Linked DNA regions of Callithrix jacchus. The protein of the gene in region 1 interacts with the protein of each later gene in a biochemical or structural test. Links are inferred from orthologs where the notes say so. Each region holds a gene or a part of one and is shown in the gene's direction. Other genes may lie near its edges.

Region 1 (4,369 bases):
TGCTTTGAGCCTCGGTGAGTCACTGTCTTCTGGGCCTCAGTTTCCTGTTCCTGGAATGAGGATAACTGTTTTTAGGATATGATCAGAGTTAAGGATATCAGATTGCACTCAGGAGATAGTCCTCTCAGCCGATAGCTGGACCCCCTCAGGTCCTGGCATAGGAGGAAAATCCTAGGGAAACAGACAACCTCAGAGGTGGGTCTCCAAGAAATATCAGACTGCTCTCTTGAGTTTGCAGACTGTGCCCCTTCTTCTCTTTCCCCACCCCAAGTACAGCAGCAAGAACCCACAGTTCCATGCTTAACCCCTCCCTGGGGATCCCTGCCCTGCTGCCTGCCTGCCTGCCTGTGTGTCTGCCGGGCATCAGACCTATCTGTCCTAGGTGTCTGCCAGTCTACTTGGGCCTCACTGACACTGGCTGTTTCTCTTTGCTGCCTACCTGTGTCTGTTGTTGGATTACAATCTCTGTCTCCACTTGATAAGTACCTGCCTTCACCTGTTGGGCACATGTCACATGTTAGGTGCCTGTTGTTCATGTCCCCTTCTGTCTCTACCTGTTGGGTTTATGTCTTCATTTATCTCTGCCATTGGATACATGTCCCCTCTGTCTCTGCCTGTTGGGTACCTGTCCCCTTCTGTCTCTGCCTGTTGGGTTTATGTTCCCTTCTGTCATTGCCTGTTGGGTTCGTGTCCACTTCTGCCTCTGTCTGTTGGGTTCATGTCACCATCTGTTTCTGTGCTGTTGGATACATGGCCCCTTCTGTCATTGCCTGTTGGGTTTACGTCCCCTTCTGTCTTTGCCTGTTGGGTACATGTCCCCATCTGTCTCTGGCTGTTGGGTACATGTCCCTTTCTGTCTCTGCCTGTTGGGTTTGTGCCCCTATCTGCCTACACACATTGGGGATGAGCTTCTGTTCACCTCTGTCTGTTAGATATGAGTCCCTTCCTGCTGCTTCTTGTTGGGTACATGTCTCCATCTGTTTTCTACTGGGTATGAATTTCTCCTGCCTCTGCCTGTTGGATAGGTATCCTTATCCATCCCTGCCTGTTGGGTATGTGTTCCCTCCTGCCCCTGACTATTAGATGCCATTCTTATCTGTTTCCACCTCTTGGGTGCCTGCTTCTGCCTGTTGGGTGTCTCTCTTCGTCTGCCTCCACAAATCAGGCATCTGTCTTTGCCTGTTGGGTACCTATCTGCTGTTGGGTACCTGTCTGCTCAGCAGCTGCATTGGCAGGGGGCTTTCCCCTTGCAGGCCTCTGCAAAGGGAGGATGGGGGAATGGCCAGAGGGCAGCCCTCAGACACTGGGGAGTGGGGAGAGAGGAAGGGAACGTGGTGAGGGTGTAGGCCTGGAGCTGGGAAACCACAGACCCTGAGTGATTGGCTGCCCTGGGCCGGGCCCAGCCCCCGCCCTTACCCTGCACATCCGCCTTGGTCCGGGCCACCTCCGCGGCAGCCCTGGTCGCTGCCTGCTCCTGCCATGGTGCTGTGGCCCTGCTGGGCGGATGGAGCAGGATCCCAAGCCGCCCCGTCTGCGGCTCTGGGCCCTGCTCCCCTGGCTGCCCAGGAAGCACCGGCCCAGGATCAGCCAGACCTCTCTGCCTGTCCCTGGCCTTGGCTCTGGCTCCCAGCAGGACTTGGTGAGTGTGCCCGGATGTCTGGTCCTGGCCTGGCTGTGTCCCTCGCACAGGTGCCTGGGAAGCTAGCTTAATGCAAGTTGGCTTTGGTCTGTCCTGGCCCTGCCAGGGGTGACTGGACCCTGCCCAGACTTGCTTCCTGGGGAGGTGAAGAGGCACTTGAGGGCTTCAAGGTAATACCAGCAGATTGGAGGGAGGTTAGAGTCCTGGAACAGTGAGGCTCTGGCAAGGCACTTCTAATAGGTTTGTAGGAGGGAAGTTTGGGAAGATGAGCCATGCAATCTCCGGCCTTAACTCTGACCTGCCCCAGGCCAGCGCTGACCAAGTCGATGGGGGAGTTTGGGTGACTCTTGGGTCTTTGTGCACCTCAGCCCTGTCCTACTGACCAGAGGGATCCCTCTTCCCATCCTGACCAGGAATGAAGGCCCAGCTCTACCTCCCCATATGAGAACAAACCTACTTCCTATTGTGGCAAAACTAAAACAGCAGGGGGAGGGAAGCCCCACGGGCAGACCTGGGACAGGTCTCTGGGTCTCAGCCAAGTCGGGTTAGCTGAGCCTGGCCATGCCTGGGCATCCCTCTGGGCCATCCAGAGCATCAGGAGCAATAGGAGTGGTACCTTTTCTGGTTTGACCTCACCAACCTTTGAGGCCCTTTTGAAATTGATGTCCCTGGAGGCTAGCCCTTCAGGGAAGTCATCTGTTGGGCCTTTAGGTCCCATCTGCTGCGGTCTGGTGGGAAGGGACTTGGGCAGGGGGGATATGCCTCCTGCTGCCCAGATGGGGCCCACTGTGCCCACCAGCTCTATCCCTCCATCAGGATGAGGGCGTCCTCAAGGAGATCTCCATCACGCACCACGTCAAGGCTGGCTCTGAGAAGGCTGATCCATCCCATTTCGAGCTCCTCAAGGTTCTGGGCCAGGGATCCTTCGGCAAAGTGAGTCATGAGCCCATGGCTGTGAAGGCAACGTTGGTCATGTTGGAGGTGGGGATCAAGGCTCACCTATGGGCCCAAAGTATCAGAGGTCACCTTGGTACCCACGGAGAGCAAAAAGGTCAGCTTGGGGCTCAGAGAAGATACAGGTCATTGGCCAGGCGCAGTGGCTCATGCCTGTAGTCCCAGCACTTTGGGAGGCTGAGGTGGGTGAATCACAAGGTCAGGAGGTCAAGACCATCCTGACCAACATGGTGAAACCCTGTCTCTACTAAAATACAAAAAATTAGCTGGGTGTGGTGGTGGGCACCTGTAGTCCCAGCTACTTGGGAGGCTAAGGCAGGGGAATCACTTGAACCCAGGAGGTGGAGGTTGCAGTGAGCCGAGATTACGCCACTGCACTCCAGCCTGGTGACAGAGCAAGATTCTGTCTTAAAAAAGTAAAGAAAAAAAGAGGCTAGACATGGTGGCTTACGCCTGTAATCACAGCACTTTAGGAGGTTGAGGTGGGCAGATCACCTGAGGTCAGGAGTTCGAGACCAGCCTGACCAGCGTGGAGGAACCCCGTCTCTACTAAACATGCAAAATTAGCTGGGTGTGGTGGCGCATGCCCGTAATCCCAGCTACTTGGGAGGCTGAGGAAGGAGAATCGCTTGAACCTGGGAGGTGGTGGTTGTGGTGAGCTGAGACCACGCCATTGCACTCCAGCCTGGACTCAGCCCTCTCCCATCTCCCATCTTATCCCCTGCTTCCTGCTCTGCCTTCTCAGGTCTTCCTGGTGCGGAAAGTTACCCGGCCTGACAGTGGGCACCTGTATGCCATGAAGGTGCTGAAGAAGGCGACATTGAAAGGTGAGTAGGGACACCTCCCTGTGCAGAACCCAGGCTGGGCTGAGGGAGGCAGCCCACACTTCAGGGACCTTGGTTCTGGCAAGGAAGACAGCTCTGTCTTCAGAGCACCTAGTTCAAAAGCGGAGAGACAGGCCTATGTCTCAGCCATCCCTCCCCACCCAATCCCCTTCCCCTAAGCCAAGTGCCAATGACTGGCTGTGAAGGTCTGGAAGGTAGTAATAGGATAAATGCATGGCTGGGCGCAGTGGCTCACGCCTGTAATCCCAGCACTTTGGGTGGCTGAGGCGGGGGGATCACGAGGTCAGGAGTTTGAGACCAGCCTGGCCAAGACGGTGAAACCCCATCTCTACTAAAAATGCAAAAATTAGCCAGGCATGATGCCTGTAATCCCAGCTTCTCAGGAGGCTGAGGCAGGAGAATCGCTTGAATCTGGGAGGCGGAGACTGCACTCCAGCCTGGGCGACAGAGTGAGACTCTGTCTGAAAAAAAAAAAAAATTGGATAAATGCAATGTGTTTTTCAGGGGAGGGACCCTCAGATACCAAGCTGGTCTGGCAGAGGCGTTCTGACTATTGGCAGGGTTGCTTCATGATGCTAGAAGAGTCTGAGGGAGACCTCTGTGGCCTCTAACTCATGGGCCTGAGAGAACGGCATGAGTAAAGAGGCAGGGAGCCCAGGGAGGCAGCTGGGCAAGGCAAGAGAGGGTGAGTCCAAGCAGGACCACAGTGCTGGATAGCAGAGAGGTTCAGAAGGGAGCCCAAGTCAAGCTTAGAGTTCTGGGGACTCACAAAGGGTGTGAGGATAGTCGGTAGTGGGCTTTGGGTTGGGCACTGACCACCTGGCCTGGGAGCCAGTGTGATCAACGACCCGGTGGAGTCAGAGCCAACTGCCCTTCCTTGACCATCTGCCAAGTCTCCTTTTAATAAAAGTCAAGGCCAGGTGCAGTGGCT
Region 2 (3,756 bases), about 20 Mb from region 1:
AGATTGGGAGAGGGGACTAGGAATGGCTATAGAAGCTGCCTTAGGATGAGGCTGAGCTCAGTTCTGTAGAAGAAACTATTCCTCAACTGAACGATTCCTACCCCCAATATAGAATATAGTTAGGGCAATAAATAGAAATGGAGTTGTGGGAATGGGCAAAAGGCAGGTTTGTTGCTTGTGTAGAATGTAACACATAGCCAGAGTAATTTACTTTTCACACCTGCCTGTCCCCCTGCTGAAGCTGTCTCACAGTACCCCCATGGAAGCCTGAGTGGGGACATTGGGCATATGCTAAAATCGGTACTCTCGGAAAACCAGGAATAACTTCATAATTTTGTGTCTCTGGTCTCCCAGCCTCCTAATTACATCCATGGGGCACATCAAGCTCACTGACTTTGGATTGTCCAAAATTGGCCTCATGAGTCTGACAACGAACTTATATGAGGGTCATATTGAAAAGGATGCCCGGGAATTCCTGGACAAGCAGGTAAGGAAGGGTAGTTGATATATTGGGGGTTAAATTCTAGGCCCTTGGCCTAGCGCAGTGGCTCACGCCCATAATCCCAGCCCTTTGGGAGGCTGAGGCAGGAGGATCACTTGAGGCCAGGAATTCAAAATCAGACCTGGGCAACATAGTGAGACCTCATCTCTACATTTGTATACATATACATACATTCAAGGCCCTAGAAGAAGGCCTTGGGGCCATATGCCTACCTTGTAGCTAGAGGTTAAGATTGGGGAACCCCTATCTTTTCTACCTTTGGGTTCCAGAGAGGCATTGATATAGGTAGCACATTTGAAAAACAGGATGAGCCATAAGAATCATATGGATATAAAATCCAAAGTCATCTTCCTCCTCAGGGTTTGGAGAAAATAGGTCAGTAACTGTTAGCACAGAGTTTCATATGAGATCAGTCCCAAATCTCCCAGCCTGAGTCAAGGACAAGGCTCTCCTGGAGCTTGTGGTTCTTGGAACAGAGCTCTGAATTTCCACTGGGCTATGGCCCAGTGTCCTGAGAGGCAGCCTCTGGATGTTCCCTGGTTTAAGATTTCAGGTTGTGACTTCACCAGTCCCTGTAGTAGTTATGTGACTCGCAGGATCTGTTCTTTTAGAGGCTGGAGTGCAGAGGCCAATTGTGGGATCAGATGCCGGAGGGGGGTGTTGAGGGCTTAAGGGATGGTAGTTCCAGGCTAGAATGAGACTTTTTTTGTTAATTAGGAAATACCAGCCAACAGTTCCAACTCTTATTCCCTGGGGCTCCTGTTGATCTTACTCATTAACTAAGGTGGGCTGAGTCTTCATTCAGAGACTCTTCTGTTTCAGAGGTGGGAGCATCCCCCCTCTCCAGCTGTCATGCCAGTGAGCAGCCTCAGGAGGCTAAGCCAGCCTGGCCTTTCTGTGCCCAGGTATGCGGGACCCCGGAATACATTGCACCTGAGGTGATCCTGCGCCAGGGCTATGGGAAACCAGTGGACTGGTGGGCCATGGGCATTATCCTGTATGAGTTCCTGGTGGGCTGTGTCCCTTTTTTTGGAGATACTCCGGAGGAGCTCTTTGGGCAGGTGATCAGTGGTAGGTACTCTCCCCCTGGCCCAGTGGGGAAACAGTGTAGATCCACAAATAAGATGTCTTCCAGCAGCTTGTGAGGCCTGTGAGCTCTTGTTCTGAACTCATGGTGTGTGTCTGATGTCTGCTGCTTTGGGGGTGGATGTGTCTGTGTTTCTGTCTGTACATACACGTGCATGCTGTGTCCTTGGGGCTTCACATATCTCCCCTCTATACCTGTGTGTTCTGTTTGTGCACATCCCATGAGTGTGAGGAGTATAGAAGCAGGGTGAGCTGGAGCTTCAGGAGAGGGGAAATCACTGTTTTGCAGTGCCCACTTTGGATCAAAGATCAAGCCATGGTCTAGGAACCTATAGAATTTAAGGACTGGGGTCTCAGGCAAGGCTTTGGGGGCTCTAGGCTGTGCCCTTTTTACCTCCTTTCCTCACACTGTCCTGGGACCCTCTTCTACATCTCTCCACTCTCCCCACAATTTCTCCTTTCCCTCTCACCCCTGATGACTTCAGATGAGATTGTGTGGCCTGAGGGTGATGATGCACTGCCCCCAGACACCCAGGACCTCACCTCCAAACTCCTCCACCAGAACCCTCTGGAGAGACTGGGCACAGGTAGGACACGCCCCGCTAACTTTTCTCACTACTTGGAAAAGAGGTAAGGGAGGCTGGAGGTTCCAAACCCTAAAGGTTTGGGCTTCAGTTATGGGCAGCCCATCTGGATCCTGAAACTCTGCCCTGCTCCCTGTAGGCAGAGAAGGGGAGACGCTTGAGCTGACCACCTAGGTCAAGCCAGAGCTTCTCAAGGTCTGGCTTCTTACTAGGTATGCTGACCTGTACTCCATGCAGCTCATCCTACCCCCTTGCCCATGCCCTCCCCGTCCACAGGAGGTGCCTCTGAGGTGAAGGAGCACCCATTCTTTACTGATCTGGACTGGACAGGACTTCTCCGCCAGAAGGCTGAATTTATTCCTCAGCTGGAGTCAGAGGACGATACTAGCTATTTTGACAGTAAGGCCGCCAATTGGTGGGGTAGAGTATGGGTGCTACCCATTTGCCTAGAAATATCTGTGCACACTGAACTTGGCATTGGGAGCAACTTCTCAGGGCTCTGCTGAAATCTAATGGAGTCACAAGGAGGCCACCAGCAGGACTCTGAAGTGTCCTTTATGTCTGTCCCAGCTCGCTCAGAGCGCTACCACCACGTGGACTCAGAAGATGAGGAAGATGTGAGTGAGGATGGCTGCCTTGAGATCCGCCAGTTTTCCTCCTGCTCTCCAAGGTTCAGCAAGGTGTGACTGAGGAGACCCAGAATGGGCAGAACAGGCTGGAGGATCAGAAGAGGGCCTGTCAAAGGGCACTCTTGGGGCAGGCTCAAGGAATGGGGATGGGGCCACCTCTAGAAAAAGAGGAGCAGAGGACTGGGGCTCCATATAGCTATATATAGATGCTTCTGGAACGACTGCAGCCCCTGACATGAGATGCCAGGTCAGATCAGTGGAATAACTGCTTCCCCAAATATTCAGCAGGGATGTGTGGAGGAGGAAAGGAGCCGACTGGCTCAAATTCCTGGGTTTCCAATGCCAAGGATGCCTTTTGCCACTTGGGAGGTACGGATACCAGAGCCCATCCCCAGTGCATCCCCTGTCCCCACAGGTATACAGCAGCATGGAACGGCTCTCGCTACTCGAAGAGCGTCAGACACCACCCCCGACCAAGCGCAGCCTGAGTGAGGAGAAGGAGGACCGCTCAGAAGGCCTGGCGGTGCTCAAAGGCCGAGACCGGGGCTGGGTGATTGGCTCCCCTGAGATGTGAGCACACAGAGCTCACCCAGGGTGGGCGACAGCTATCCCTTCATTGTCACAGATATTGAGAGAGATTCTGATGCTGGGGAAGAGTGCAGGTAGCAGTGAGGGGCATTCATAGGGTGGCTCCTGGAGGAATGTCTGCAGAGGAAAGTTCCATTACTATAACCCTTGTGTGCCCCAAAGGAGGCCTGGTGGCAGGAGGGGGACCACATGGGCCATCTCACCCCAGGCCTTGTGTCTCATAGATTACGGAAGCGGCTGTCGGCGTCTGAGTCATCCCACACAGAGAGTGACTCAAGCCCTCCAATGACAGTGCGACGCCGCTGCTCAGGCCTCCTGGATGTACCTCGGTTCCCTGAGGGCCCTGAGGAGGCCAGCAGCACCCCCA
Region 3 (4,348 bases), on another chromosome or scaffold:
CCTGACTTTTTGTGGTTAAACACAGCTAGCCAGGAACTCAGGGCTTCTCATCAGCAGAGGCCTCTGCCTTTCCAGTATCCAGGGCTGAATGGATTCTGGGTCAAGGCCTCCCTCCCGCAGCCATGAGGCCCTGGCTTGATGGAATGTCGCTATGGAGTCCAGGGAGGCAGCATGGGGACCCTGAGAGCTTTTCCCATGCCCTAGGCTGCTGGGCCTTGCTGCAGGACTCCTCTGGACCTTGAACATTAACAAGGCTCATATTTGGAAGGTGCTTTGAGAGGGCTTATAAGTATTTGGAGGTTACTTTGTAAACTGTTTTTATTGGAAAAGTAACATGTGTACAAGAGAACAACCCAAATACAGAAGAATATTAAACTTCCCAAGCCTCCAGCCCCCTCCCATGCTACTGTATCCCAAGGTTAGCTCTGCCGGCCCACTCGGCCCTGGGTGCCTCTGCCCAGGGTCGGGGTGGAGATTTGAGGCTTGCGGGTGAGGGCTGGGCGAACCGCCTCCTCTCAGGTCTTCGGATACAAGCTGTACCCATTTGCTGTGTGTGGACCCAGGACTACTGTGCCCACAGGCCTGGCGCTGCCTGGACACCCAGACCCACCTCCAGGGTCGCCCTCGGCCCTCCCAATGACTCTCAGACTCGCATCTGTCCCAAAGGATGACCAAAGATTCTCCAGTGAGAAATCACATTTTTGATAACAAAAGTGTTTTAAAATAATTACGCACGGGGTGAAAAACTCAAACAGTAGAAAGCCCCTTTCCCATCGGAGTCTGCCCTACCCCCGCCAGTTACAAGCTTCCCAGCCACTTCCTGAGCTCTCTGCGTGTACGGACACGCGTCCCACCCACAACAACTTTGTAAAAGAATCAGACGCGTGAAGGATTCCATTCGAATCACTTCGGCTCTCTGCTTTTCTCACTTCACTGTGGGTCGGGCGCGGGCTTTCTGTCGGCGACACAGACGCCGCCTTCATACCGTTGCACAAGCCCCGCGTCAGGGTTCCGCGTGCGGGGTACCGGAGGCAGGCCCAGCCCTTGAGCGGGGTCCGCGGTGCCGCCAACGCCCCGGGTCTGCGCAGCGGCCCCAGCAGTCCCTGCCCCGCCCAGTTCGAGCCTCCCGGAGGGCCCCCAACCGGGCGATTCGCAGGAACTTTCCCCGACTCTCCCGCGCGGAGCCGCCACAGGACCCTCTAGCAAAGTTCCTTTAGTTTTAAGGACGCGAATCGCGGCGAGAGAACCCGCGGAAGGCGAATAGATGGGGCGCGCAGAGGGGGAAACTGAGTCCCGCGAGAGGGCGGGTCTGGGCGCTGCCCCGCCCGCGCCCCGCGAGCTCCGCCGTGCCCGGATGCGCCCGCCCTGCCCCCGCCGCGGGCCGTCCCGGTCCAGCCGCCCGCCCTCCCGCCATCCGGCTGGCCCCCCTCCTGGGCGCGGTGCCCGTCCCCAAGGCGGCTCGTCACCGCTGCGAGGCCAATGGGCTGGGCCGCGCGGCCGCGCGCACTCGCACCCGCTGCCCCAGAGGCCCGCCCGCACTCTCCCCGGCGCCGCTCTCCTGTCCTCGCCCTGTCCGCCGCCACCAGAGTCGCCATGCAGACCCCGCGCGCCGCGCTCCTCCCGCTGCTGCTGCTGCTGCTGGTGGCGCCCACATCGGCGCAGCTGTCCCGGGCCGGCCGCTCGGCGCCTTTAGCCCCCGGAACTGCCGCCGGGTGCCCCGAGCGCTGCGAGCCGGCGCGCTGCCCGCAGCCTCCGGAGCACTGCGAGGGCGGCCGGGTCCGGGACGCATGTGGCTGCTGCGAGGTGTGCGGCGCGCCTGAGGGCGCCGCATGCGGCCTGCAGGAGGGCCCGTGCGGCGAGGGGCTGCAGTGCGTGGTGCCCTTCGGGGTGCCGGCCTCGGCCACGGTGCGGCGACGCTCGCAGGCCGGCCTCTGCGTGTGCGCCAGCAGCGAGCCGGTGTGCGGCAACGACGCCAACACCTACGCCAACCTGTGCCAGCTGCGCGCAGCCAGCCGCCGCTCCGAGAGGCTGCGCCAGCCGCCGGTCATCGTCCTGCAGCGCGGCGCCTGCGGCCAAGGTACTACGCCGCGCGCCTGGGCAGCTCCCCACTCTCTCCATCGCAGCCCGGACTTGCTTCTGCGGTACCGGCGGGCAGGCAGAGGGGCATCGAAGCGTTGCGGGGTGGCCAGGGCAACTCTCGGGGACAGGCAGGTGGGCCCCGGGGGGACAGCTTGCCGCGGGCTGCCTCGAAACCAAACTTTGAGCCCACCCCGGGACCGGTTCCGCGCCCGGACGATGCCGGTGCGCTCGGCCTGCACTCTGGGGCTCCAGACGCCTGGTGACCGGCTGCGGGGTGCCCTGAGGGCAGTCACAGCGCGGGGGACCTAGGACAAATAAGAGGGATAGGAACATAAAGGGAGGAGAGAAGTTCAGACCTGGGAACTGGCGCCTTGCAGAGCGGCTTCAGTCATTTCTGTTGCTTTTTCTTCTGTTTGCTTCCTCCGTCCCCTTTAAAATGAACCATGCATTACTTTTTATCATGGGACCTCTTCTTGAAAACTGTATGTAACCGTTTTGGAGAAGAACAGTGTTTGCCGGCCTGCCCCGCGGTTTCCCCCAGAAAATCTACCCCCGGAAGGGACTGGTTTGGCACCGCGCTCGTTTCAGCAGCGTTTGCTGCCTGTCTTACTTTCCTCGTTTTGAGCCAGCCCTACAAAAATGAAAGTGGCTCCTTTTGAATAAGCTGAATCGGGCGTTGGATCACAAAATCTGCAGAGGCGGAGAAGGGACCGGGTTAGTGATGGGAAAGACGTCAACCCTTCTCTCCCTCCTGGCACTCACAAGGATCTGTCCTGGCGGGAGAGATGGTGGTGATGGGGGAAGGAGTGGAGTGGAGAAAGGTTTAACTCTCTCGCGGGACCTTGCAGAGAGATGCTCCTCATCTTCAGGCAGAGGCCACTTGGAAAAACAATATCGAGTTCAGTGGCGGCCAGTGCCGCGGTGCAGGAACCGGACAAGGGGGCTTGGCAGTGCGCTTGGCCGCAGCCACGCAGCTGCTGCCCGACCCCAGCGCTGCCTCATCAACATGAGCAGTGCCAGGAGCGAGGCATAGGAGAGCAGAGTGCCCTGTGCCCTGGTCTAGGTTTTTCTTTATGGGAATATCGTTCAGTATGACCAACGGGGGCTTGGCATAGCTTGGCTTACATGGACGGGAAGGTGCCAGAGCCAAATTGGGTGAAATTGATGATTGTGTATTTCACCAACACAGGAGCACAGCCCTCAGGAAACTCAGTCTAGTTAGGCAGTAGAGAGCTGTCCCGCAGATAAATGATCCAGGAGACCCGAGAATGGGCATGATGCTAGCACACACCTAGTGAGCACCCAGTCTGTGTGCCAGGTGTGTTACCTCTGTGACCTTATTTGGTCTTATGAGGAGGGAGTTTCTTCTCTCTCTCTCTCTCTTAAGAGACAGGGTCTCTCTCTGTCACCCAAGCAGGAGTGTAGTGGTGTGATCATGGCTCACTGCGGCCTCTGACACCTAGACTCAATGATCCTCCTGCTTAAGCCTCCCAAGTGGCTGGGACTACAGGCGGATGCCACCACACCCAGCTTCTCATCCCTGTTTTACAGATAGCAGCACTGAGATTGAAAAACTTGCCCAAGGTCACTCAGCTGGAATTTAAAGCCAGACAGCCTCATTCAGAGGAGTCAGCCCAGCACTTAACTCCAAGGCTGTGGGAGAGGGGTCAGGTGCTGTAAATTTCCTAGTGGGCTGGATGCGCATTTCGCTCAAAGCTGGGAACAGCATATGCAAAGCCAAAAACTTGTTTGGAGGTGAATAGATCAGTGTGACTGGGGGACATTTGGGGAGGGCAGCAGGAGTGAGCTAGGCTGGTGGCTCAGAGTCCATGGCTGAAGAGGCTGGCTGTGTGCCCTGTGCCCTGTGCACAGATGTTCTTGAACTGGGGCCACTCAAAGCCTAGTGTAGGGCTGACCTAGCGGTGGAGTACGGAATGCATCCAGGGTGGAGAGTTTAGACTACTGCAATACTCTGGGTGTGAGGCGACAACATTGAAAAAGCATGTTTTTGTCCAAAACAAGCCAGCTGTTACTGGTCTCGCTGTTTGTGGTCTCGTTGCACGGGGTCCTGTGTTGCTGGCACCGTGCGAGCAGCCTAATTTATTGCTAGTGAGGGAAGTTGCTTCACAAGCTTTGGAGTTGGCTGAGTCCCTGTGTGGAGGGAAACAGGTCTCCACTGGCCATCAGGCTCACAGCCGGCCCCCACTGTACCGGTGAGGGGACGGGCGCAGAAGGATGAGCATGGTGGCCTTGAAAGGAGGGAGAGACA
Region 4 (3,126 bases), on another chromosome or scaffold:
GACCGAAATAACCAACTCTGAGGACAGCCCAGGGTCCTGGGTGGGCTTAGCTTTGGGACAGAGCTTCTCAAGGGTGGAGTGAAGGTGCTGGGTGTGTGAGGTCCCTGTCCTTTGGCTGGGGTGCTGGGCCTGGACAAGCTGGTGGTCACTACAGGCCCAGAAGAATGGCTGTGGTTCTGTGTGTTTGGATCGGGTATGAGAGATGTCAGAGGAGGGCCACCTAGAACCATGAGAATTTGGAGGCGGGAGTTCAGGAGTATTCCTTGGAGTTACTACCCGCCCTCTCCCCTTTCTGGCTAAGGTTAGAGGCTGGAATTCTAGCATGCCCCCTGGAGCAAATCTAACCCCTATGTCCACCTGGCAGGGGACACCATTGCCAGTGTCAATGGCCTGAACGTGGAAGGCATCCGGCATCGAGAGATTGTGGACATCATTAAAGCGTCAGGCAACGTTCTCAGGTATGTCTGGGAGCTGCAGTGCCTGCGGACTCCTGAGCTCAGCCTCTTGATATTTCCTCAGCCTGTGGCTCACTCGACCTTTGATTCCCCAATATCAGATTGGAAACTCTGTACGGAACGTCAATTCGGAAGGCGGAACTGGAGGCTCGTCTGCAGTACCTGAAGGTAGGGGAACGAGCTCAGATAACGTCTAACCTCCACCCTCCTCTTCCCAAGCGCCTACCCTGTGGGGTGGTCATTTATATCCGAATCTCCTTTAACCGAAGGTTTCTTCTGTCTACTCCCTGATCCCTTATCTGTACCTATGTCCTGCTGGTTTCCTGCTAGTTCGTGACAGTAGGGTGGTGGTTGTCTCTTGCAGCAAACCCTGTATGAGAAGTGGGGAGAGTACAGGTCCCTAATGGTGCAGGAGCAGCGGCTGGTGCATGGTGAGTAGGTCTGCGCTTCCTCCTCAGCTCTGGTGGGCTCTAGTAAAGAAAGGTTTACTAGCAAACCTCTAAAGTAAAGCAGGGTTCGTTGAGCTACTACTTTGGATACTGCCGTACCCACGTTTCTGGTTATTCTCACACTAGCCCTCTGCAGGTAAGTAACAGATAGTGTCATCTTCACTTCACAGAGGGGATCACCAGGGCTCAAAGAGTCTGTGTCAATTCTTTCCGAGGGTCTTGTGTGCTAAGCGACGCCCATAAGGATCTGAGTGATCATTCCTGATTTGCGGGTGAGGGAAGTAGGGGCTCAGGTCTGTGCCTGGCCAGGGCCACACAGAGGGTCAGCAGGACGGAGTGGGGATGCCTCCGAGCCTTTGCGGAGGACACCACCGCCTAGGCCTGACCCGCCCCCCACCGCCTCCCCCGTCTCCGCGCAGGCCTGGTGGTGAAGGACCCCAGCATCTACGACACGCTGGAGTCGGTGCGCTCCTGCCTGTATGGCGCGGGCTTGCTCCCGGGCTCGCTGCCCTTCGGGCCTCTGCTCGCCGTGCCCGGGCGTCCCCGCGGAGGCGCTCGGCGGACCAGGGGCGACACTGACGACGCCGTCTACCACACGTGCTTTTTTGGGGACTCCGAGCCGCCAGCGCTGCCGCCTCCGCCGCCCCCGGCTCGCGCCCTGGGCCCGGGCCCCGCCGATACCCCTGCTGTGGGGCCGGGCCCCGGAGCGCGGGCCGCGCTGAGCCGCAGCGCCAGTGTGCGGTGCGCGGGCCCCTGCGGGGGCGGAGGCGGGGGCGCGCCGGGCGCGCTCTGGACTGAGGCCCGCGAGCAGGCCCTGTGCGGACCCGGCCTGCGCAAAACCAAGTACCGCAGTTTCCGCCGGCGGCTGCTCAAGTTCATCCCCGGACTCAACCGCTCCCTGGAGGAGGAGGAGAGCCAGCTGTAGGGGCGGGGGCGGGCAGAGAGGTATTTATTTATTTATTCGCAACAGTCAGCGCTGAAAGAGGGGGAGGCCGGGCTAAAAGGACCCCAGGAGCCCAGAGCAGCGGGAGAGGGTCCTTGCGAGCCCCGCCCCTCCTGGTCGGTTCCTGGCTGATGTCTGCTGAGGGAGTGGGGGGCTCAGGCCCTTCTCTTCTCTTTCGCTAAGCCACAGTGGGAGCTGGGGCAGGGGGAGACCCAGGCAATCGGGGGCCAAAGATGGGGTGCTTGCCTACAGTCTCATCTGTAGTGCCTTGTGGGGTATCCTGGAACACCCACCCAGCAGGGGTGGGAACCCTGTCCCACGAAGCCCTCTCCTCAGCTTTACTTGCTCCCCCGCCCTTAGCCTTGGGGAGAAATGGCCCATGGTGGGCTGACCCCCCACCCTCCACACACAAGGTTCCCTGACCCCGTGGGCCCCCAGGGGCATCAGGTGCTGGGCCTCCTGCGTCCTGGCCTCGACCCCTAAGGGCTTGGCCTCTCCCAGGGGCTTGTAACTAAGTCGGGTCCTGCTGGGCAGGGGGTCTGTGTTCTGTGTCCCTTGGGGACAGGAACCGGCAAGTTCAGGTGGGGTGGGGACAGCACAGACTGTTCCACCGTTCTGCATATTGTTGCTTCTGAACCACAAACTGTATAAAATGGATGGTTTTTCATCTGTGTCAGTGTGGTGACTGCCTCAGGGGGAGGATTGGGCTGGGGCAAGCTCTGACTCCACCATCCCAACCACCCACCCCCAACACAAACGCACATGTTATTTTCTTACAGCCTGAAGCCAGGGAAATAGTCTGGGAGATTTAAATTTACATGTACAGGCCTGAGCTGGAGGCCCCACACTTCAGAACTTGAGCCTCCCTCCCCAATACCCACAGCAGGTGGTGGCCAAGGCTTGCCTCAAGTACTTAACCATCCCTATAGAAATACGGGTGCTTGGCATGCCTTTCTTCCCAGCCTCTGAGGACTCCCTTGAGGGGCTCAAGCCAGATCTGTGGGGACCTGAGCTGTATCCACCTGGCCTGTGATGGGCCCATCACAGATTACTCTGTTGTTCCAGAACTCTTCTGCGGTTTCCAATACTCCCAGGATGAGTTTTTTGTTGTTTTTCGAGATGGGAGTCTCCCTCTGTCACCCAGGCTGGAGTGCAGTGGCTCAATCTCGGCTCCTTACAACCTCTGTCTCCCAGGTTCAAGCAATTCTCCTGCCTCAGCCTCCCAAGTAGCTGGGACTACCAGGTGCGTACCACTACCCCCAGCTAATTTTTGTATTTT
Region 5 (4,523 bases), on another chromosome or scaffold:
GAGGCGCTTCGGCGAGAGGTCGCGGGGGGCAGGGCGCGCAGGAAGGCCGGGACAGGGGCGGGCCAGTCGGCGGGAGTCGCTGCCGCGGGAACCGAGGCCGGCGAGGGCGGTTAGCTTCCCGCCCCCGCCCCCGGCCGCCGCGGCGTGAGGGGAAAGGCCGGCGGGCTGCGGGCAGCGCGGCGAGAAGGAGGAGCCTGCGGCCCCGCCCCGCCGGAGCGAGGGAAGGAGAAAGGCTCGCAGGGAAGGAGGAGGGAGTGAAAGGGGCGGCCGGCCGGGCCTGAGCCCGAGCGAGCGGCGAGCCGAGGGGGAAGGGGCCCGGAAGGAGGCGAGCACGGCCGCGACGCCGGCAGTCTGACGCCCGCTCGTGCCGGCCTGCCGCAGCCGCCGCCGCCTTCCCTGTGCTCCGAGCCCGGCGTCCCGAGCGGCGGCGAAGGCCGGAACACGGCGGTCGGGCGCGGGGCGAGCGGCGCCGGGAGCCGGAGGCCCGGCCGGGCGTCCTGCGCGAGGCACGGCGGGCTCCTGTCTGCGAGATTAGGCGAGGGGCGGAAAGGGAGGCAAGGAGAGGCCGAGGGGAGGCAGGCGATCGGATTTTCCAGGAGGCTGGTGTGGAAGAAAAACCCACCCCGAACTCAAATCCGCAATCATAATCCGAACGAATAATAAGGGAGCCGTCTTTCTGGCCGAGCGAGAGAGAGGGAGAGAGAAGGGGGAACGGGAGGAAGCGAAATCTCCGTTTCATGGAGGCTGAGGCAAGAGAAAATTTCGGAGCCTGGATGTGGAGGAGCCCAACAGCAGAACTAACTCAGGAAATTGTCTTTCAGAAAAAGGCCGAACGTAGGCTGGGTCTGAGAATCAGTCTGGGGTAGGTGGAGGAACCTGCAAGTTTAAAGGAAAAAGAAAGGGAGAGAATATTTTCAGAGATTGTCTCTGGTTTGTGATCATTGCTACCATCTTAAGGTAAAAAGCATTGCATTTCAGGTGTTCTTTGATTTTTTTTTTTTTTTTTTTTTGGTGCAATTGGCTCGTTTAAGAATTTCAAAACATTTAATGTAAAAGCTTTTTTTTTTTTTTTTAAGTCCATAAATTTTGGTTCCCAGGGTTGCATTGGACTTGGAAGGAGTGCTGTCGTGTACATACTATTGTATGGTTTTATTTATTTTTTTTTACTGTGCAAATCAGCTGAAAGGTTTTTTTCCGAGTGCCATTTCGGATTTATTAATCCTTTTTTTTTTCCTTTTCTGAAATATATTTGCTGTTGTCACATTAAGCATTGGAGACTGGAAAAATATTTTTCACCCTTTGAGCTAAAGGGTCTCTTGCCCACAGAAGGACAGCTGAGAAAACTGGATTTAAAGGATGGTGTTATCTGTACTTTGCAGTTAACAGTGATATTTTGAAGGCACATTTTTCTGTGATTCATTTTTTAGCCCATAGTGCTAACCTTGAAGAGATTTGTGGCTGGGTTTTTGGTTTCTGAGAAGGTCATAGTTTTTCCTCTTTTTCCTTTCTTTTTTTTTTTTTTTTAAGTGGGGGAGGGGAAGAGGGGCTGAGAAAGGAAATCATGCTCGCTCGTAGAAGTAGAGTGGAGCATCAGTTACCAGGGTCCTGAGAGCTGGAGGAGAAAGGATTCAATCTTCAAGTTGGGAGACCCTCCTCTCACCTTGCTTAAAAACTGCAAGCGATTCAGTCGTGATCAAGACACCAAAGCTGCAGGATTCTGGAACCGTGGAGACACCGAGAAACCATGAGTGTAAGGTTACCCCAGAGTATAGACAGGTAGGTTTGCTGATAATTTGATTTTTCGACATTGACTAAAGGAAAGACTGGGAGAGAGGGTGTTGCATTTTAATGAATGGTTGAAAATGAGGGTCTGGGTGGGCTGTGGGCACTGGTGGGCTAGGAGCATTCGTCTCTGGAGACTGTCAGCCTGTGTGGTTATGTGCTCTCTGTGTGTCTGTGTTCAAAACACAGCTTTTGATTCCGCGTCTTTTGAGTATAAGCTATAAACAGTGAAGCCAGGAGAGGGGAAGGAGTGAGAAATGTTTCCAGTGGTTTATGACTTTTGCCAGGATGGAGGCTGAATTTGAGTCCCCCCCAACTTGCCAGCCTCAGGTGGGTGCAAACGTGTCTTGTGAGCCCCTAGGGGGACTGGCTTTAAGTGTTGGAGCTGCTGGGAGAAGGGTCCTGGGAGGGTCGTGGGTCTTCACCAGGCTGGTTGTTATGGAATGTTGGGGCTTGGCGATGGGGTAGATCTCATTTCTAGAAATGAAGAGGATGTTCTTGGCCTGAATGATGGGACAGAAACATCCTTTGCACCCATACAGGTCTGGATTTTTACCAGTAGCTGACATGGCCCCAAAATGCATAGGTCACATTAGAATTTCCTCTCCTCTGAGCTTAGAGTTTAAATTGAGACCTGCCAACCAACTGATGCTCTAGGTTTAATCTTCCAAGCCATTCTTAATAAGCTTGACTCTGCAAAATGGGCCTTCCCTCTGGCTCGAGCCGGAAGGAGTTGTTTTGGGCTCGTAGGCCTGCTGGGCAGCAGCACTGCCCTCAGAGTCTGAGCACATGATGCCCCTTCCCCCAAGAGTCTGCCCAGCCACCTCTATCACTGGTAGTGTTACAGTGTGGTTGCAATTCTTTCCTCCAGTGTGGTTGCAATTCTTTCCTCCAAATGATTGGTACAACTTTGCAAGCTGCTTGTCTTTTCCTTCCCTCCCCTACCCCTCCTCAACCCTTCTCCCCATAAGAATCTTGCGGGGTGGTGGTGGTGGGGGGTGTTTTGTGGGCACTGCACACATCCTAACTGGATAGATGGGTGGTTGAAGGACTGAATAAGCAAATGAAAGGACTGGGCCTGGAAAAAATATTATTGGAGAGATAATGAAGAATATTTGCAAGGATGCAATTGCTCCCTTCATGCCCAGTCCATCTTCGGTTATCCATGCTATTAATTTCCTTTTGGCTGTGGAATGTGGCCTAAAATGCATATAATCTCTCTTTCCCAAGCACTAATCTCTGCATTGCCTCAGAGTCCCATTTAGATTAGTTCAGCAGTCCCTAGATGGGAACTGACTTGGCAGTGCAGAAGAGGAAGCAGGCAGGCACAAGGATATATGGCCAGTTCAGACCTCCCTCCCCCTTTCTGTTGGGCCTCTCTGCAGTTTGACCCTTGGAAAGGGAGAACTGAGGCACGTCAAGGTGAGGAGTTGGAACGGTTTATATGGCTGCCCTTCTTCCCTTTTCATCCTCTTGGAATTTGAGAATTAGTGTACTTGGCCTTTTTAAGATTTGAATGCTGAACTCTTTCTGGTAAATTCAGGGATTTGAGAAGATGGAAACCCAAGTTTTAGGGGTGCAAGAAGGAGGAGGCAGTGAGGGTTCCTGGATTGATGTGAGACACTCCTCTGGGAATTTGGATATCCTCATAGATAAAAATCTCAGGATTTGCCCAGCACATTACAGTTTCCTAAGTGCTTTCACAAAACATAATCTCATTTGGATCTTGCAGTGGTTCTGTGAGGTAGACAGAAACATCAGAGGTTATTGTTCACGTTTCACAGAAGGGAAAACTGAGGCTCAGATACCCAGCTTGCCCAGTGCCATCTTGCCTGGCTAGTGACAGAATCTGCACTTAAAGATTCAAAGACAGGTCTGAATCTGTGGCTCTTTCATTGACCCTTCATATCTAACTGGGCTTCTATACTGGGCCTGTAGAATGTGTGCAGCACCGTTTTCTTCTTTCTCTTTGGCAGTAGGGTAATTGCCCATCAGCAGTCAAGGTCTTCCCTTCCATTTTCCTGTCTTGGGGCTCCTACCTGGGGGGTTCAGTCTTGGGTTTATACCTCTAAGTCCTATAGTTAAAACACTTTTCTCCTATGAGATAGTGCAGCTTTGCAGGGTAAGGGTATTCCTCACCTTCACCCTGCCTGATCCTCTTTCCTGTTAAGAGTGAGTGCTAAGACTCAGATTCCCTTCAGCTATCCCCAGATACCTGAGTGCTGGGACTCAGGTCCCCTTCAGACATCCCCAGCTAGATGCACTGAATCCTCCCCCCTTAGCTGTAGGCCTATTCGATCAGAACTTTGGACATCAGGCTCAAGACTCTATGGATTTTAAATAATTTACAGTCTTAAATCACACTGAAAGGAATAAAATGCTGCAGATAATGGAGTCTAGTATTCTTTCAGTTTATCAGTTTGCTGTGTAGAGAACCTAGTGTAAGGTGCTATAAGAGAGTTTTAGAAAATTAAGGTGACAGTTCTTGCCCACAGAAAAAGCATGCAACTGGGGGACTTAGAAAGATGTAAGACTCCTGAAGACCACATTAAGCAACACCAGACTGTAAGCTCCATGCAAGCAGGGACAGTTTGGTTTGCTTGTGTTATATTCTGCGTGCCTAGCTTGATGTGTTGCATGTGGTGAGTACTCGAGAAATGTTTGACAAATGAATGTTGGAATGAATGAACGGATCTTCAACTATAAATTCTTTCATTTCAGGTTGTTTCAACATTCACATG
Region 6 (3,756 bases), on another chromosome or scaffold:
TCTGTGGACTTTCTGCAGGCCAGTCAATGTGCTAAGAGCTCTGTGTGCCTCATATAGGTGACTCTGGGAGGCAAGGTGACAGATACTAGTGAGGATACAGAGCCTTAGATATAAGAAGCAGCTCATGATCAAGCTGCTAGAAAGAGGGAGAGTTGGGATCTGAACATCTGTGTTCATAGTTCCAACTCTTCCCCACCACATTATAATACCCCATATATCACCAAGAGAGACTACTGAAAGTCATTAAGGTCATGGCAGTCGTCACTTAAAACCTTTTCATGGGTTCCCATGATGCTGAAATAAAATCTTAGTGGCTCATGCTGGCCTACATGCCCTGCCTGGTCTAGCTGTGCCACCTGGCCACCCTCAGCCCACTTCTCTCTTCTTGTACACAGGGCTCTGGCCATGCTGGCCCACGGCCTTTGCACCTGCAGTTCCTCCACGTGGGAAGTGTTAATGGTGCCAGGCACCCTGCCTTTCATATCGGGGAGAGTTCAAGAAGTATCTGCCATTTAACTGCTTTGAGCTTCTCCACATAGATATTTGCATCCTCCCTCCCCTCCAAGAAGACCCTCAAGAGAGGCCACTTGGAAATAGTCCCCAGATAAAAGTGGCGTGAAGACCCCGTATCAGAGCCCCTCCATTCTCCTGCTTGATAGCAGATAACACTAAAAATTAGACCAAACGACCTGCCAGAGAACTTACCACATGGCCCTTCAACTAGGCCTACAGCTTAGTCCTACAAAAAGTTGCACAAGTCATTGGCAAAGTGGGTGAGAAGTGACTTAGCCTGGTTATACTGAGAGACCCAGGATGTCCAACAATTTCCAAAGTTCTGAATTCATTCTGAAGCATACACCAATTGGCAGATACAATAGCATGTGTCCCGCATTTGGGCTCACTTTGCTTTTATCTTACTTAATTTGCAGTAATAGTGGCTGAAACTAATTTCTTGACAGTAAATATCACAGCTGTTGTGGAGAACATTAATTGCACACTATCACGTTACCCTCCTTTCTTGGATCTGTTTATGTGTAATCTGTTTGCAAGTTCTATGACTGAATATTAAGGGAATGCAATGTGAAATCATCTAACCAAACACATTGGAAACATTTGTACTGAAATGGCTGGGTGGTTTGGGGTATGGAAATATTCTTGTCTGTGGCAGACATTGAAAAAGTGCTTTTGAAAAGCGCTGCCCCAGAAGTCTTGATGCTGAGTGAAATATGGGTAATTTTTCTTTGGGGGATCAATGAAATAACTATTTTCAAAATGACTTTATATTGACTGAAAGGTCAGAAATGCCCTAGGCATTGATCCTGTGTCCATAATCACTTTTTGTTTAGTAAGTTAAGCGGCCCTACACAGCTGAATGCAAAGAAATCCAGTTCATCATTTAAAGAAAATATTTTCAAAGCATTTGACATCCCCTCACTCGCATTGCCTGCTGGAGTCTCACTGGGAATGCCTTTCTTTGCCTAGGAAGTGGACCTCTACAGAATGAACAGCCAGGACAAGCTGGGCCTCACTGTGTGCTACCGGACGGATGACGAAGATGACATTGGGATTTATATCAGTGAGGTACAAAGGCTGATTTTGTTCTTGTAACTATCATATCAACACCAAAAGGGTTTTTTTCCCTATGTTCACCAACCCTAACCTACCTCATCAAGAACTCTTGGGAAAGACACAGACAAATTATTCTGTCCCCCTCATCACACTCCATGGCGTTGCATCTTTCCACGGAGGTTAAGTCCTAATGTCAGTACTTAGAGCAAAATTACCCTTGAGAAGCCTGCAAATCAGCCATAAAATGGAGCCATTTACATGATTTTGTGTGTTTAGCCCTGAGGGAATGGCAGATTCACATTTCCCAACTCATGTTCATGGAGTGGAATGGTGGATAGAATCACTTACACTTTTTCAAGTCTCTCTCTCTCACTTTTTTTTTTCTCCTGGTGAAGTATATATAGTTGAGTTCATTTAAGTTAAATGTGATTTTTATGTACTTATCAAACTACATAGATGCACACTGTGTTGATTTTCCTTAAGAAGATAATACAAAGCAACTGATTTTAGTATGGAAACTTTACTGTACACACCCATCCTTGCAAGCACAGAAACCCAATTTTGTCAGGAAATAAAATGTCGCTACAGGATGAACTACTAGACTTAATAATTATCTTTTTGGTTGGCTGTATGTTATCCATCAAGCTTAAGCTGTTAGCCCAGCCTTTCTGCATCTGGGGGCATCCTTCCCCTTACCAGTCCCCCTTGTCTCAATTATATTTTTAAAGTTATTTTCCAAATTTTAATACAAGTATTTTGTATAAAATAAGGTATGGTTGCTAGTTAACATAATGAAGGGTTATGATTGATTTGATTTTAATAATCATGCATATAAAAAAGGTCAGCTGTGTCCCCTCAGCCCCCTCAGATTGGCAGAGCCTGCACCCTCTGCTGTGTAACAGGGTTGCTATGCAGGGATGCAAGAACTGGCCCTACAAAGGGCTTAGAAGCAGATCAGCTCATATTTGCCTCTCCTTACAAGACACTAAGTCTTGTTTATTTCTGTGTAAAACACACACAGGGATGAGCATGACTGTGTGTTAGAGATGGCTTTGGAAATTGCTCTTGCTTATTTTCATGCATGTCTGGGTTTGTGCTGAGATGGTCCATGTGTGTTTCAGATTGACCCTAACAGCATTGCAGCCAAGGATGGGCGCATCCGAGAAGGAGACCGCATTATCCAGGTAAGTCCACCTCCAAACGGTGACCTCATAATGTGCCTGAAGAACAAACTGGTTCTAATGATAGGTCTAAGGTTGAAAATGCAGGAGAGGTTAAAGAACAGGGATCACAAACGCAGATGTGTAGTGAGGCCAGACAAGTTAAGCTAATTGTGAGGCTAACTCTGAGTCCTAAGACGCAATAGGGAGTGGTAAGGACTGAGACAAACTAGATGGGGCACGTTCTCTCAAAAGACAGCCTTGCAGAATTTAAGCCAGTTCACCTCATTTTCTTTCCTTCTGTTTGGATCAAAACAAATCAGACCAACAGTTTACAACTTGTGAACTAAAATAATTCTCATTTTAGATTTCTCTGAAAGATTAACTTTGGACCAAGTGTTTCAGGGTCTCGTCCATAAAATGGGAACATTTTTGGCAAATTTAGCAGAATCGATTGAAAAGTCTTATATTTTCTGATTCAACATCTAATACTGGAAATGCTTCTAAGGGTAATTACTTGACCTCAAGCCCTGTTGTTCCATCTAGTCCAAATGAGACCATTCATATCTCTTTTTGGCTACAATCTTCTTTAATCTCTCCGAATTGAGATTCTTGGCTTCACTGTCTCCGCAAGGCTTAGCTTTCTATGTTTTCTGATCTGTATCCTCTCATTCCTAAGTCACTGTTTTTCTCATTTCATATCTCACTATGAGTCATTTTTATTTCCTTCTCCCATTGCCCGCTCTGGGTTTCTCTCGTCTTCTGCCAGAACCTGTGCTGCTCAGGATCACTTACCCTAGGAAAGTGACCCAAACCTTCACACCTGAAGGATCAAGGTCTTCAGGGTCCTCAGCATTGCTGCCTTCTTGTTGTTGCTGGAGTTTTCTATTAACCTTTGCTATTGAGAATGGAAGTTCTCAGAGATACTCCAAGGAATACCCTGGGTTCCAGACACAATCCTCCCTGCCTCCACTGTGTCACAGCAGGTCCATTTCCCCTTGGTAATTGAGGGCAATCACTTCAACCA
Region 7 (4,362 bases), on another chromosome or scaffold:
CATAACGGGATGGCTGGGGCCCCACAGACATCAGGGAGCTGTGCGGGCTGGGAGGCTTGTCAGCTGCTTCTCTCCCTGGCAGGGCTGAGGACAGGGCTTGGGGAGGGCATGGCATGAGTGAGCACTGGCTCTATTTCCTGGCTGCTTCCAGGGAGAAACACAGCTCTGGGAGGTCACAGCAAGGTGATGGTCTTGCAGGGGCGGCCGGGGGGGTGGGGGCTGCGGTGTGTTGAGGAGCAGTGTATGGACAGTACCAGAGACCAATGATCAGATCCACAGGGTCCTCTCTGTGCTGCCCGCAGGTACCCACTGTCTGCACCATGGTAGTTGTTCCTTTGAGTGGGACAGAGGGAAAGTCTGGGGGCATCCTGCCTCTGCTGTTCCAGCCTGTCTTTGGAGAGGGCCTCATGCTGATGTTCCTGGTCGGGGGTACCTCTGAAGAGCCACTCCCCAGGATGTGCCTTGAACTGGTTACTCAGACTGTATCATTTGTTCCTCAGACCTAACTCTGGGCCTCTCCTGTGGCAATCAGGACTCCTGGAGACATGACAATGCAAGCAGGCACTCTGGGGTCCCCTCCTGCTGCCCTGCAGGGGATTGCAGGCCCAGAGCCCCCAGGGAAGAGTCCAGACCTCCCTTCCTGTCGCCTCCCTATCCACCCCCTTTAATGCTCCTCCCCTCTTCTCTGCTGGCTGGGCAGGACCTGCAGCTCTGGGAGGCCGTCTACTCACCCCCTCCGCACTCACCTGGGGGTTGCCCCAGCCTGGGCACCTTGACCTCGCTGGCACTAACTCCCCAGGCCTCAGGCACTCTACCTCCTCTGTGTTTTGAAATCCGGCTTCTTGTCCCAACCCAACACCCTTTTCTGCGTCCCCTCCTAGCATCACCCCTCTCCTGGTGTGCCAAAACCTTTGGAGTCCTTCCACCTCTTCTTGAACCCTGAAACCCTCCTAAGGCTCCCTCCTGCTCCCAGAGTCGGGTCTCAGCTGCTGACCACGACATTCAAAGCCTCCCTTTCCAGCCTCTTCTCGGCCACAGCGTCCCTTCCCCAACCCCATCCCTACCCCGGGTAGGTAGAGAGGGCTTCTACTAGCTGGCCGACTCCTGCTGAGCCCTGGAGGCCTAACGCAAAGGCCATCCCCTCCGGAAAACCTCGCATGCTCTACCAAAAGCCATCGGGGCTTCTAAACTGCAGGGACTCGCCACTGTGCGGGGGTCCGGGACGCAGTGGCTGGAGAGGACACAGGGGAGGATCCTGGGGAAGGAATAATGGAGAGAGCCAAGGGGAGTGAGCGCGGCGGCCTCAAACTTCCCCCGGTTTCCCCTGCACCCCAGAGTGACCAAAGTGGGGAGGGGGTGAGTAGAGGGCCTGCCTCTACGGGGGAGAGGCGGGGCTCCCGGGAGGGGGCGGGGCCACCAAGAGGGGGCGGGAGCGGGGTTGCGGGCCCGGACCGTTCGGGAGGGGTCGCGCGCGTTCGCGGGGCAGAGGTGCGTGGAGTCGCGGCGCGCTCGCTCATCTCCCGGGCTTGGATACCCGCTTGCCCTTCGGCACCTGCCGCGTCGCGGTCCCCGGCTCCAGATGGGGAAGGACCAGGGCTTCTCTCGGCACTTTCGGTAGCTTCCCCGTCACGTCCGTCCCGCGCCTCCGGGAACCGTGCGCCCTGTGCGCCGTGGATCCGCTTCGGGCTGGTCTGAAGGGGCTGGGCTGGAGCGCGGAGGGGCTTCCCTGCTCTGGGTGGGCAACATCCGAGCCTGGGCGGAGCCCGGGGCCCAAGGAGGTTGGAAATAACCTGGGTGGGTACCGGGGCAGCGAGGTCTAAGCGTTGGGCGCTCAGAACCCGTGCGCAGCCCTAAAGAGTTGGTGTCGGGGCAAAAGGCTGATATTGAAAGACCAGTTTCCTTCCTACACCTGGGCTGGTCGAGGGGACATGACAGAGGGCCGAGACTGAGGTTGGGTGCTCTTGTGAAAATATGGGCATCTCGTCCTGAGTTTGGGGGGCACGACCTCTCCACTGCTGTGCTCCCTATGCTGAACCAGGGCACCTTGCCCCTTGCCACCAGTTCACTGGCTGATCAAGAGAAAGCTGGGTGGGGACCCGGGCACAGTGGCTCACGCCTGTAATCTCAGCACTTTGGGAGGCCGAGGGGGGTGAATCTCCTGAGGTCAGGAGTTTGAGACCAGCCTGACCAACATGGTGAAACCCCATCTCTACTAAAAATACAAAAAACAGCCGTGTATGGTGGTGCATGCCTGTAGCTCCAGATACTCAGGAGGCTGCAGCAGAAGAATCACTTGAACCTGGGAGGCAGAGGTTGCAGTGAGCCAAGATTGTGCCCCTGCACTCCATCCTGGGTGGCAAAGAGTCTGTCTTAAAAAAAAAAAAAGAGAGAGAGAGAGAAAGCTGGGTTGGGACAGGGAATGGATGGGGGTGGGGTGGGTGGGGGTAGTCCCTAGTACGAACTTGGGGTTGGATTAAGACCTGACCCTGGCAGAAAGAACAGAACTGACCCTGAGTGCAAGGTCATTGTGTGGCCCCCAGAGAGGCCTGTGGCCTCAGAGAGGCCTGTTGGCATAGAGTCCCAGGACAATGATTGCTGGACTGCCAGTCAAAGGGATAGTGACTGGCGACAATAGTTGCTGTGGCCCCACTGTTCCTGGCCCTGCTGGGTCAGTCGATTTAGGGCAGACCCAGGGCTGGAGACCCTGGGCCAGACTGAGCTGCATGGAAGGCCCATAGGAGCTAGGTTGGATGTCTGGCTTACCAGGCAGCCTTGACTTCTGTCTCACCCCTAAAAACACCAAGTAAGGAAAGGGCTGCTCAACCTTCTTTCCTCTGTACAGTTGGTGACAGCCTGGTTCCCACCTGGGAGGGCAGGGCTTTTTCTTTTTTTTTTTTTTTCCAAAACTGAGTCTCACTCTGTTGCCCAGGCTGGAGTGCAGTGACTCAATCTCAGCTCACTGAGAGGGGTTTGTCTTCTGGGTTCGGGCAATTCCCATGCTTCAGCCTCCTGAGTAGCTGGGATTACAGGCATATGCCACCATGCCCGGCTAAGTTTTGTATTTTTAGTAGAGACAGAGTTTCACCACGTTGGCCAGGCTGGTCTTAAACTCCTGACTTTAGGTAATCTGCCTGCCTCAGCTTCCCAAAATGCTGGGATTACAGGCTTGAGCCACCTCGCCTGGATGATAGGGTCTTTTCTAACTGCTGCTGGAAGGTAGAGCTGTGATGTCCTCTTGACCCCTGCCCAGGTTGGACCCAGGGGTTGGGTGCATGGAGTGATATCTTCTTCAGAGTCTGTTACTGGAGTCAGAAGTGAGGTGGACAGTCTCAAGTGGGTGTGTCCTTTTTCCTTTGCCTCAACGTGAGGGTTGAGGTCTGGGAGGCAGTGGGGAATGTGGAAGCCAGGCAGATGGAGGGGTCAGGCTCCGGAGACTTTGAGTGACCATCTTAGGGGATGAGGCTAAGTTTCCAGGTTTGCAGAAAGCATTGCAGGTGGGTGGGAATGGGCACCGGGCAAAGGTGAGCAGGATATTCATCCTGGCCTTCTGGTCATCCAGATGATCCAGACCTGGAGCAGAGCTCACTGTGGGGACAGAGCCTCCTCCTTGAGAATCCATGCCCACTTCCTCCCACCAGGCAACTTATTTTGCCCGCCTGGCATAATTACTCCTATCCACAGAGGTGGAGGGAAGTGTGGGGGCCACTGGGACACCTCAGAGGGGTTTGTATTTCAGCTGACTGCAAGGCCACTGATCCCTTCTCCCTTCTCTCCATCATCTTGCCCTTGGCCATGGCATTTGGTACAAGGAACAGGGAAGGGAGCTTTGGGATGCAGCCAGGGAGACCTCACAGGCAACTGGACCTTCAGGGGCTCTTGTTAGAGGTCCTGCCACAGTGCTGAGGCTCTGAAGGCTGGGCTCCAATGCCAACTGTGCCACAGGCCAACTGTGTAACCGAGGAGAGCTACGGGTCCTCTCTGTGCCTCAGAATCCTCTGCCACAGACCAGAGAGTCCATCAGGACGTTAACTGCTGCCATTACTCAGAGATGCGGGTAGGCTGCTGGCAGACTGCCTGTTTACCAAGCCTCTCTGGTGTGCCGAGCCCTGGCCAATCACGGTGGCTCATGATTGAACTACAGACCAAACCCTCAGAAAGCCACCAAGGCTGGGTGTTGTAGCTCACGCCTGTAATCCCAGCACTTTGAGAAGTGGAGGTGGGAGGATCGCTTGAGGCCAGGGGTTTGCTACCAGCCTGGGCAACATAGAGCCTCAGCTCTACAAAAGAAAAAGAAAAAGAAAAAAATGCTGGGTGCGGTGGCCCACCCCTGTAATCCCAGCACTTTGGGAGGCTGAGGTGGGC

What was found.
Region 2: the proteins of RPS6KA1 (region 1) and MAST2 interact in a test that uses a peptide from one of them, tested with the Homo sapiens proteins (2 studies listed by BioGRID and IntAct, with this or other methods). The link is inferred for Callithrix jacchus from reciprocal best matches to the Homo sapiens genes RPS6KA1 and MAST2.
Region 3: the proteins of RPS6KA1 (region 1) and HTRA1 interact in a test that uses a peptide from one of them, tested with the Homo sapiens proteins (2 studies listed by BioGRID and IntAct, with this or other methods). The link is inferred for Callithrix jacchus from reciprocal best matches to the Homo sapiens genes RPS6KA1 and HTRA1.
Region 4: the proteins of RPS6KA1 (region 1) and TAMALIN interact in a test that uses a peptide from one of them, tested with the Homo sapiens proteins (2 studies listed by BioGRID and IntAct). The link is inferred for Callithrix jacchus from reciprocal best matches to the Homo sapiens genes RPS6KA1 and TAMALIN.
Region 5: the proteins of RPS6KA1 (region 1) and ARHGEF11 interact in a test that uses a peptide from one of them, tested with the Homo sapiens proteins (2 studies listed by BioGRID and IntAct). The link is inferred for Callithrix jacchus from reciprocal best matches to the Homo sapiens genes RPS6KA1 and ARHGEF11.
Region 6: the proteins of RPS6KA1 (region 1) and PDZRN3 interact in a test that uses a peptide from one of them, tested with the Homo sapiens proteins (2 studies listed by BioGRID and IntAct, with this or other methods). The link is inferred for Callithrix jacchus from reciprocal best matches to the Homo sapiens genes RPS6KA1 and PDZRN3.
Region 7: the proteins of RPS6KA1 (region 1) and GRID2IP interact in a test that uses a peptide from one of them, tested with the Homo sapiens proteins (2 studies listed by BioGRID and IntAct, with this or other methods). The link is inferred for Callithrix jacchus from reciprocal best matches to the Homo sapiens genes RPS6KA1 and GRID2IP.

Annotation. Positions count from the first base shown.
Region 1 is NC_133508.1:63,192,366-63,196,734, forward strand, and holds the start of RPS6KA1 (ribosomal protein S6 kinase alpha-1), read left to right. Parts: upstream 1-1,448; 5' UTR 1,449-1,504; coding exon 1,505-1,639; intron 1,640-2,455; coding exon 2,456-2,572; intron 2,573-3,338; coding exon 3,339-3,420; intron 3,421-4,369. UniProt on the Homo sapiens protein: Serine/threonine-protein kinase that acts downstream of ERK (MAPK1/ERK2 and MAPK3/ERK1) signaling and mediates mitogenic and stress-induced activation of the transcription factors CREB1, ETV1/ER81 and NR4A1/NUR77, regulates translation through RPS6 and EIF4B phosphorylation, and mediates cellular proliferation, survival, and differentiation by modulating mTOR signaling and repressing pro-apoptotic function of BAD and DAPK1.
Region 2 is NC_133508.1:82,798,780-82,802,535, forward strand, and holds part of MAST2 (microtubule-associated serine/threonine-protein kinase 2), read left to right. Parts: intron 1-354; coding exon 355-487; intron 488-1,407; coding exon 1,408-1,573; intron 1,574-2,073; coding exon 2,074-2,175; intron 2,176-2,448; coding exon 2,449-2,571; intron 2,572-2,742; coding exon 2,743-2,852; intron 2,853-3,216; coding exon 3,217-3,371; intron 3,372-3,613; coding exon 3,614-3,756. UniProt on the Homo sapiens protein: Appears to link the dystrophin/utrophin network with microtubule filaments via the syntrophins. Phosphorylation of DMD or UTRN may modulate their affinities for associated proteins. Functions in a multi-protein complex in spermatid maturation.
Region 3 is NC_133513.1:115,866,246-115,870,593, forward strand, and holds the start of HTRA1 (serine protease HTRA1), read left to right. Parts: upstream 1-1,535; 5' UTR 1,536-1,593; coding exon 1,594-2,077; intron 2,078-2,435; exon of another isoform or gene 2,436-2,841; intron 2,842-4,348. UniProt on the Homo sapiens protein: Serine protease with a variety of targets, including extracellular matrix proteins such as fibronectin. HTRA1-generated fibronectin fragments further induce synovial cells to up-regulate MMP1 and MMP3 production.
Region 4 is NC_133510.1:67,463,983-67,467,108, reverse strand, and holds the end of TAMALIN (protein TAMALIN), read left to right. Parts: intron 1-364; coding exon 365-458; intron 459-556; coding exon 557-623; intron 624-819; coding exon 820-886; intron 887-1,323; coding exon 1,324-1,829; 3' UTR 1,830-2,514; downstream 2,515-3,126. UniProt on the Homo sapiens protein: Plays a role in intracellular trafficking and contributes to the macromolecular organization of group 1 metabotropic glutamate receptors (mGluRs) at synapses.
Region 5 is NC_133519.1:17,439,282-17,443,804, reverse strand, and holds the start of ARHGEF11 (rho guanine nucleotide exchange factor 11), read left to right. Parts: upstream 1-1,524; 5' UTR 1,525-1,744; coding exon 1,745-1,776; intron 1,777-4,523. UniProt on the Homo sapiens protein: May play a role in the regulation of RhoA GTPase by guanine nucleotide-binding alpha-12 (GNA12) and alpha-13 (GNA13). Acts as guanine nucleotide exchange factor (GEF) for RhoA GTPase and may act as GTPase-activating protein (GAP) for GNA12 and GNA13.
Region 6 is NC_133516.1:55,155,564-55,159,319, reverse strand, and holds part of PDZRN3 (E3 ubiquitin-protein ligase PDZRN3), read left to right. Parts: intron 1-1,482; coding exon 1,483-1,581; intron 1,582-2,690; coding exon 2,691-2,753; intron 2,754-3,756. UniProt on the Homo sapiens protein: E3 ubiquitin-protein ligase. Plays an important role in regulating the surface level of MUSK on myotubes. Mediates the ubiquitination of MUSK, promoting its endocytosis and lysosomal degradation. Might contribute to terminal myogenic differentiation.
Region 7 is NC_133503.1:16,248,695-16,253,056, reverse strand, and holds the start of GRID2IP (delphilin), read left to right. Parts: upstream 1-1,457; 5' UTR 1,458-1,579; coding exon 1,580-1,614; intron 1,615-4,362.